3 separate regions of the Mus musculus genome follow, and all the other regions are reported to be linked to region 1. Evidence: microRNA targets listed by miRTarBase, many of them from high-throughput screens and not tested one by one. Region 1 holds a microRNA gene; each other region holds the end of a gene's coding sequence.

Region 1 (3,000 bases):
TTTTTTTTTTCTTTTCTCCCAGGTACTGTATTTTCCTGATCGGTGGTGGCATGCCACACTCAATCTGGACACCAGTGTCTTCATTTCTACCTTCCTTGGCTAGCCAGACAGGCAACTGGCAAGCCCACTGCACCAGCACATGCCAATGTAGTGCTCACAGACTTTATTACAGGACAGTGGCAGCAGCAGCAACCTCAGCCCACCCTCACCCACTCTCCAGCCCAGAAGGGGGACAAGGGAGGCTCATGGTCCAGCAAGGGGTATGCTGAGAAGGGGAGCAGTTCAGAACCCATCAGCAGGGCCGATGGGGGCAGGCCCAGGGACACAAACTATACAGGGACTGGAGCTTCCGTCTCCAGATCCTCCTGGGCCAGGGTGCCAGGCAGGACATGGGGCCTCAATAGTCCTCTACCCAGCCGTTCTCAGAGATGAAAGCGTCAATGACTTCCTTCATGGCCAAGTTGGGGATGAGCTGTTCCTGGGTCAGAGGGCTCCGGGTCACAGGGTCAAAGTGGCCCACACGCTGCAACAGAGTCAAGAGTGTTCAATGGCCTGAGTATACCGATCCGGGTACCAAGGCTCTCCATGGCCCGGTCTCCATGGGCCCTCCTTACCTGCAGGTGCTCCTCAATGTCCTTGCGGTCATAGGTGATACCACTGGGTGTAATGCAGGGTTCCCGCATCAGCTCAAAGCTAATCTTGCCACACAAGTAGTCAGGGATATCTCGCTTCTATAGCACAAGGGGAAAATGTCTAGAACTGGAGGGGGCTGTGGGGGTCACCATACCAGCAGCAGCCGATGAGCTTCCGGGGGTCCTCACCTTTCTTTTCTCGTCCACCTGAGAGAAGAGCTCATCCATATCTGCCATGTATTTATCCTGCAGAGTTGAGTGCCATGTGTGGGCAACTCCTGTCTCCACACAGACACACACACTCTGTCCACCAGGGCACTCATGTCATGCATGGGCCAACAGATCCACCAAAGGCTGGGGCACTTTTCATGCCACACACAAACACACACACAATGACCCACATGTGGACTAGGGGCACCCTCACGTGCTTGGCCTCAATGCAGGCCTGCTGGGCCCGGATGTGGCCATCATCTTCATGACCCTCGTGGTTCCGCTGACACTCCTCCAGTTCCCTGAGGGTTAACCAGAAGCTAGTTGGTGATGGCCCTGACCAGGAAATCACAGAGCCCGCCCCATCTCAGGCCTCTTTCCTCCTGGGCTTCCCATGTACCGGTTGTTGTCCTTCAATAAAAACACTTGTGCTGGTGACTCAGTGTCTGCTGGGGGAGGGACCCACCTCTCTCGCTCAGCAGCAATGAGCCTGGTGAGATATGAATGCAGCTCACTCTCCTGGTGGATGCGCCGTTCCTCGATACTGTTCCAGCGCTTCTTCTTAGCAATGCGAAGGGCACTAGGAATATCATCCCCAAAGTTGAGTCGCTGCTCCTTGGCCAAACTATAGGCTAGGGGAGTGGACACTTTTGGTTACACTTGTCAACAATCCTGGTCCCCCAAGGTGCCCTCAACCTTGCATCTTGTCAGCCCACCTCGCTGCAGATTGGCAATGGCCTCATCATAACTCTCCATCTCCAGCTGGCACTGCCCCAGGAAGAAGTGCGCCTTCACAGACTGCCCGTCCAGCTCCAGGGCTCGCCGGCAGTCAGCAAGTGCCTGTTCAGGCTGCTGCATCTTCAGATAGCACAGGGCCCGGTTAGTGTAGTACACTGCCACAAGTGGGTTCCGAGTCTGGGGACCAAGACCAGGCGTCAAAGAGTGTGGGCTCAGTTGATCCCCTCTCATTTAGCAAGCTGAAAGCCAATGATCTGGTCAATGCTCCAGCTTTGGGGGCCCATGGCTGGAATAGAGGAACTGGAGATTTCCGAATTATCAAGAGCTCTGGATTCTGGCCATGCTTTCTTGCCTCCAACTGCTTTTGAGAGAAATCCCACAACCCCTCTACAAGCTCTGGGCTTGGAAATCTCAAGGGGCAAGAGCTCCTGGTGTCATCCTTAGTCTTACTTAATCAAGCATCCCGCCCGCCAGTTCCCAGTCAAATCAGCCCTAGACTCGGGAACAGCAATCCGGGCACCAGGGGAGCGAGCGAGCCATCGAGTCCAGGCTGCCAGAAACCCTGTCCGGGATCACAAAACTGGGAGGCACATCGGGCCCCGCCCCCGCCCCTCCCGCACTCACGATGGCGCGGCCGTAGCAGGCCGCCGCCTCCGGGTACTTGCGGCCCACGAAGAGCCGGTTTCCCTGCTCCTTGAGCTCTTGCGCACTCGGGCTCTTATCAGGGCTGCCGCCGCCACCAGTGCCCAGCCGCGCGCCGCCCTCCTTTTCCTCCTTGCCCTTCATGGCGCCGCGCGGCACGGCTTGGGCTCCGCGCCCGGCCACCTAGATCTCGCAGCCCGCGCAGCGATCAGCTCCGCCCGGTCGGCGATCCGCCACCGGAACTTCCGGTGTGGGGCGGAGCTGGCATGGGGACACGTGAGCAAAGGCGGAGCCTCGTGGATTGAGCCAGTTCCCTTAGCTCTGAGAAGCTTCCGCCGCGCTCTACAGGCCCCGCCCTACAGTAACCGAGACCTACCCTGCTCAGACCAAGGCTCCGCCCATCGGCGCTCAAGCCCCGCCCTCCGGCCCCAAGCTGGGCGAACGTGGCAGCGGTCATTGAGAAGTGGCCTTCCGAGGGCCGGTCACTAGGCCCGGGTCCTAGCGCACCACCAGGGCACACACGGGCTCACGCGACAGCCTGGGAACGTCTGGACCGCCGGTAGGAAGGCGGAATTGAGGGTAGAAGAGAGGCCCGCAGATCAGACCGCTCTCGAGGGGCTTCCTCGGGAATCGGGAGGAGCTGCCTGCGGCCATTAATGGCTGAGAAACAAGCACGTGACACGCTGACACCGAAGGACCTTCTGCGGTTGCTATAGAAGTAGCTGCGGGTGCACGGCTGGACTCTTGCCCTTCTCGCGGTCATGGGGAGGAGCTTCTT
Region 2 (3,000 bases), not on the chromosome of region 1:
AGAGTCCACTCCAAACCGCTGAGAGGATCATAGCCTACCCCTTCAGGTAGCTGCAACCATGTTTTACAGGAATACTTTACATCCGAAATTCTGTGATTTAAAAAAGTATAATTTAAGAAATTATTTAGTCTATTTTGAGTAGTTAAATAAATTCTAGGTAGAAACATAAAATGGGGGAATAAACAAGGTTTAAAAAAAGAGAAAAAAAAAGGCTGTTTGTTTACCTATTTCTGGCAAGCAAAATTTTCCAAAAAGAAAATGATATAAACTTCAAAAACACAAAACTAAAAACTTATAAAACTCAACCTGTATTCTTCCACTGGCTGTTTTCAACCATCAGTAGCCTTGGGTACTTTTATTTGGGGACAGGAGTCATAATGACCGGAAGAGATAATTTTAGGAATGTTAAACACATCTTGCAATAGAGTAACATTATTTCCCCAAGTATCATGCCCCAAACCATCAGTGACTGTTAGTGTCTAGCATAGAAAAGAGAAATTTCACTTTAGACATATTTTTTCTACTGAGAAGGCTTATCATATGATTTTAGTATTATGTTTTGTTAATGACAAAAAAAAATCTATTGCCACAAAAGCTATTTTAGTAAAAACTACCCAGGGAAATACAAACATGGCTTGTTTTGTGTGGGGGATATGGACGCCAACCTTGTGAAGGAAAAAGTGCAATGGAGAGCAAGACAGCACAGGCTCCTGCGAGTCCTCCAAGAGTCCTGATGGTCCAGGGCATTAGATCTAAGATGGCTCCTCGAAGGCCAGTTAGACAGCAAAAAGGAACAAAGGCCAGGGCAGTACACCTCTTATCCCAGTACTCAGGAGTCAGAGGCAGGTGGATCTCTGTGAGTTCGAGACCAGCCTGGTCTACACAGTAAATTCTAGGACAGCTAAGGCTATGTAGAGAGTCCCTGTCTCAAAACAAACAAAACAAACTCTTAAAACCAAGTCAACAATAATAAAATTAACCATAGAATGCTTCAACTCAAATCATTTGTGAAGTCACCTGTCCAGCCAGGAAACCCTGTCGAGAGAGAGAGAGAGAGAGAGAGAGAGAGAGAGAGAGGGAGAGGAGAGGAGAGAGGAGAGAGAGAGAGGAGAGAGAGGAGAGGAGAGGAGAGAGAGAGAGAGAGAGAGAGAGGTGAATGTAATAAAACAAAAGCAAGAATAGTCTCTCAAACTGTGGTTCAGCTGTTTTTTTCACACTTTGGCAAACATCAGAATTTTCTGGAGGAAGCTTGAGAAAATAAACATTGCTCTCCCCACTAGCAAGTCTCAAGACAGTTCTGACACTGGTGTGATAGTGAGCCACTCAGCTTTAAGATCTAGTATCTGACTAGACAGTGGTTGTGCACATCTTTAATTCCAGCACTCGGGAGGCAGAGGCAGGCGGATTTCTGAGTTTGAGGCCAGTCTGGTCTACAGTGTGAGTTCCAGGACAGCCAGAGCTACACAGAGAAACCCTGTCTCAAACAAAACAAAACAAAACAAAACAAAAGATCTAGTACCTGGAATGTATACTATTATATAAAGAAAAGAACATATCGGATATGGCTCCATCCAACTTTGTATAGACTCTCAAGATATGTTAGGCTGGGCATAGTGGTGCATGTCTTTAATCCTAGTACACAGAGGCAGAGGATCTTTGAGTTTGATGCCAGCCTGGTCTACAAATTGAGTCCAGGACAGCCAAGGCTATTATACAGAGAAACCTTGTCTTGAAAAACCGGAAAAAAACAAAACAAAACAAAACAAAACAAAAAATCTACTTAAGTGGAAAAACCACAATGTATTCATGTTGATTCACTGATTCCCATAAGTTGGGAAGGTTGTCAGGGGGAAAGGAGAATGCTGGAGATATGGCTCAGTCGTCACCTCAGAGGACTAGGGGTTGGTTCCCAGAACCCACATGGAGGATTGTAACCACCTGTAGCTCTAGCTCTAGAGCATCAAATGCCCCTTCTGAACTCTGCAGGCACCAGGCACACATGCGGTGCCTATACATCCAAGGTAAGCAAACACACACACACACACACACACACACACACACACACACACAATGAACACAGGGTTTTTTTTTTTGTTTTTTTTTTTGTTTGTTTTGGTTTTTCGAGACAGGGTTTCTCTGTGTTGCCCTGGCTGTCCTGGAACTCACTCTGTAGACCAGGCTGGTCTCCAACTCAGAAATCCGCCTGCCTCTGCCTCCCAAGTGCTGGGATTAAAGGTGTGCGCCACCATGCCCGGCATGAACACAGTTTTAAAAAAGAAAAGAACAAAAGACACAGGACAGTACAGTAAGTCGGATAATTTATGGCTATATGAAAAATTTATTGACAAAATAAAAACTATTTACAGATTTACAGAATGGGACTGACCTTGCTCCTATTTTCTCCATGCATCTCTCTATACAATCCAAAATGAAATCATCAAGGTTAGAGAGTTAGAGTGAGAACGCCAACTATAAAGACACAAATATTCGCCGGTCGTGGTGGCGCATGCCTTTAATCCCAGCACTCGGGAGGCAGAGGCAGGTGAATTTCTGAGTTCGAGGCCAGCCTGGTCTACAAAGTGAGTTCCAGGACAGCCAGGGCTACAGAGAAACCCTGTCTCGTGAAAGAAAAAAAAAAAAAGACAGAAATAGTCAGTGAATTATTCAAGACTCAGGAACTTCTTCATCAGGGCAGCAGTAATATTCCACAAAACATATCTGCCCATCTTCATTTCTAATCATGTACTGTAAGGAGAGGAAGCCTCGGTTATCTGTCCGGATAGACACTTTACAGGATAAAGCTAGTGCCTTTGTAGAGGGCTTCAGTAGCGACAGCTTGTATCTGTGGGAGAGTAAAGGAAAGGCCGTTGTTTGGATCCACTAAATGCCATGCATGCAACACCAAGTAAAGACAAAAGTTAGTACTGAGTAGCAAGTACTTAACCGAGGTGCTGGATTTCTTGCCTTATCCACCCGCGATTACAACCCAATATCCCCAAG
Region 3 (3,000 bases), not on the chromosome of region 1:
GGCTGTGTACTTTGTTGTGCTCCATTCTGTTCCTGCCAGCATAGAACTAAATACAATGCATTCTTGCTACACACAGCTTTATAGAAAGGTATTTATGAATTAAGTTTTAGAAGGGGTGAATGCAGGTTGCACTTGAATTCCTTTAAGCAATCTGAATACTTTGATGGTTATTAATCAGAACATGGCATATTTTTTCAAGTATAATCCTGAATACAGATAGAACTCTATTTCTAAAGAAAAGTACAGCACGCTTAGTTACAACAGTTGGTCCGGTGGAGAGAGAACCGAGCACTGAGTCAAGAACTAACTAGCTGCTTATCTAAAACACAGCATCACTCAGGTGAGACCGGGACAAACATTGTTAAAGCTTATTAGTTCAAAAATTCTGATTCCAAGTAAATGGTGTTAGGGAAACATCAAGTCACCTTCGGGAGGAGTTTCTGGCCAAAGCTATTCATAAGTAAACAGCTCCCATTCATTTCAAAGATTTGGAAGTCTACCAACCATTTCTTCCACCAAAGCCCTTTGCAGGCGTAAAGGCGGCCTTCGGGAGACACCATGTTCTCCATGAGGAGAAAAGAGTAAAGCAAGCTGTACTGCAGAAAGGTGACCTTAAAAGAAAATGAGAACTGAAAGATAAAAGCAAGCTATCATTTTGATGTCCCACACGTAAGAATCATCTTTAATCAACATAAAACTGTTAACGAGGCAACTACATGGTAGACATCATTTGTAAAGATGCATAAACCAGTCTCTAGCCAGGCAATATAAACAGCAGTAGTACTGGTAAGGAAAGGAGGGGGTAAAAATTGTCACCCAGTGACTTAAGAATAGCAAACTCAGCAGTCCTGTGCTAATCCCTAGATGAGGACAAGTACCTCTCAGGAAGACAGAAGTAGCCAAAAGGAAAATACTGTAGGAGACATCTTTAAAAATTCATATTTATTCCAAACACAGCAGGCTGAAATCTTGGGTCTAGATTTCAAAATATTGGCACTATTTTTGTTTCTAATTTGCCTTGGCTATAAGATCAAACACAAGAATGTATTTTCACTCAGATCCTTGGACCTTCAAATATTAACAGCAAAAAAAGAGACATGTCCAGTCTTTTCTTTTTTTTTTTTTTAAGGGTAAAGGAACTGTGCACAGAATCAGACATTTCAGGATAGACCAGAGCCCTCAGTACCTGTGTCTTGGTAAAGTGGTTGCATTCTGGTCAGCAAAGTTTCAACATTTGTTTAAAATTCCTAATATCAACCATATTTTAGTTTATGGGCAAATAAATGGGAAAATTTACAATAAAACAGGAAATAACCTCACAGTATTAACAGCATGCAATCTATAAAATATTACATACATTAAAAGTCTCCGATTACTGTAGGCCTGGCTCATTGTTACAGAGTATCCTTCCAAAACAATTCATAGAATCCAAAATTGAAAAAATTTAAGATTGGGGGAAAAGGCCAACATAGAGTATTTTGTGTTTCGTTTTTAAACCCTATTAGTACTCAATAATACAAGGGGGAGGGAGTCATCTGTCCCATGGATTACCCCCAGTGCAAGTCTTCAGCACAAAGGATTTCACAAGTGTTTTCTGCAAACCCCAACTCAGCAGGAGTCCAGAAGATAAACTGTATTCCTGGTGCCTACCACCAGTTGTTTCTATGACTACAAAAGCTAGTTGTTTGCTGGGTTTCCAAACGTCTTATTAGTCAACTAAGCTTGTTCAACAAAAGGCTACTTAAATAAATAATTAGTGCAACTATTTTTCAAAAGTTTCCATGTACCAATACAATCAGAGTTAAACGTTCATATACAGTCTTGCTTGGGTCCATAATGGAACTAAAGGTTCAGAGGACTTCAGGGATATATTCTGAAGACAGTCAAGATGACCTAACAAATCCATGAAGTGGAACGTGTGCTAGAAGCAAGTTAAAGAATCCAAAGCATCTAAAAAAACTCTAAAAGTGTGAGCCGGGCGGTGGTGGCGCACGCCTTTAGTCCCAGCACTCGGCAGGCAGAGGCAGGTGGATTTCTGAGTTTGAGGCCAGCCTGGTCTACAAAGTGAGTTCCAGGACAGCCTGGGCTATACAGAGAAAGCCTATCTCAAAAAATCCAAAAAAAAACAAAAAAAAACAAAAAACAAAAAAAACAAACCATCTAAAAGCGTGATAGCTGATGTGCAATGTGGTTTTAAAATAAAATTAAAACCAAAACAGCCTGCTGCTCCTGGTACAGTGGCTCCTCCTTACAATCCTAGTATTTGAGAGGCTAGAGCAGGAAGACACCATGTCTGAAACAAACAAAACCTACAACCTTAAAGCAAAAGAGGTCTTGAGAAGAACACTGTCTGGGTCCGAGTTGCACAGTGAAGCCTCAGGTGCAGATAGCGGATCTACCAGTGGAGTGTCAGTGCCTTATAGTCTGCTTTTCTTCACATCTACAACGCTTGTTCTTCTAGCATCACCAGACAGCATGTACAAGGCCTGCATCTGGATTACAACAGCTTTACTTCCTCTTCGGTAGATGAGGGAGATGCCAATAGTTTCAAATACATACTACTGATTTTCCTCAGTGTGACTGGGCAAGTATTTTATTCTATTAGTCTTCTCCAGCACACTCTTCACTCTGAATCACAAAATTCAGAATATTACTAGGAGTGCCACTTTAGAGTCTAATCACTTCAGATCAGGAGGAGACTTATTTTTCTATAGCTGAGAGATTGAAAATGACTTGGCATCAGCTAACACTGCCATTGATAATGGTCCAAGAGCATGGTAGCAGCCTTTCATTCCCAGTCCAGTGACTGTCAAGAGACTTGACAACACTAGTCTCTGCTAAAAAATTAAAGGTGGGGTGGGGGGGTTGAATATCAAAAGAACAGTAATAGCTGGTCTGACTTCCTGCTCTGAAACAGCCTAAGGCTGGAGATCCTTAGGAACCTTCGTATCCAACAAGCTCACCTCAGTACATGAAGTACCTACACCACATTTCACATTG

Evidence for each region. The annotated mature microRNA mmu-miR-3082-5p reads GACAGAGUGUGUGUGUCUGUGU and lies in region 1 at 919-940, opposite strand. An mRNA with a match to its seed (bases 2 to 7 or 8) in the 3' UTR can be bound and repressed. Matches are read on the target gene's strand: a 7mer-m8 pairs with bases 2 to 8, a 7mer-A1 pairs with bases 2 to 7 and ends in A, and an 8mer does both.
Region 2: the mRNA of Rad1 is a reported target of mmu-miR-3082-5p. Seed matches in the 3' UTR shown: 7mer-A1 at 2,603-2,609.
Region 3: the mRNA of Abi2 is a reported target of mmu-miR-3082-5p. Seed matches in the 3' UTR shown: 7mer-A1 at 2,090-2,096 and 8mer at 1,396-1,403.

The regions. Positions count from the first base shown.
Region 1 is chr17:25,830,488-25,833,487 of GRCm38, forward strand. It overlaps Mir3082 (microRNA 3082), which reads right to left and starts at 941; the gene lies at 878-941. Jmjd8 (jumonji domain containing 8) reads left to right here. Exons shown (of 9, transcript NM_028101.5): 9 at 23-1,356. The coding sequence ends at 103. It overlaps Stub1 (STIP1 homology and U-Box containing protein 1), which reads right to left and starts at 2,432. Exons shown (of 7, transcript NM_019719.4): 1 at 2,205-2,432; 2 at 1,559-1,757; 3 at 1,309-1,474; 4 at 1,057-1,144; 5 at 822-878; 6 at 615-731; 7 at 147-523. The coding sequence starts at 2,366. The coding sequence ends at 398.
Region 2 is chr15:10,492,996-10,495,995 of GRCm38, reverse strand. Rad1 (RAD1 checkpoint DNA exonuclease) reads right to left here. Exons shown (of 6, transcript NM_011232.3): 6 at 2,301-2,842. The coding sequence ends at 2,665. Among named protein-coding and RNA genes, the nearest start is that of Rad1, 8.5 kb to the right of the region's middle.
Region 3 is chr1:60,477,631-60,480,630 of GRCm38, reverse strand. It overlaps Abi2 (abl-interactor 2), which reads right to left. Exons shown (of 12, transcript NM_001198570.1): 12 at 1-2,628. The coding sequence ends at 2,624. It also overlaps a transcript of Raph1 not described here. Among named protein-coding and RNA genes, the nearest start is that of Abi2, 70 kb to the right of the region's middle.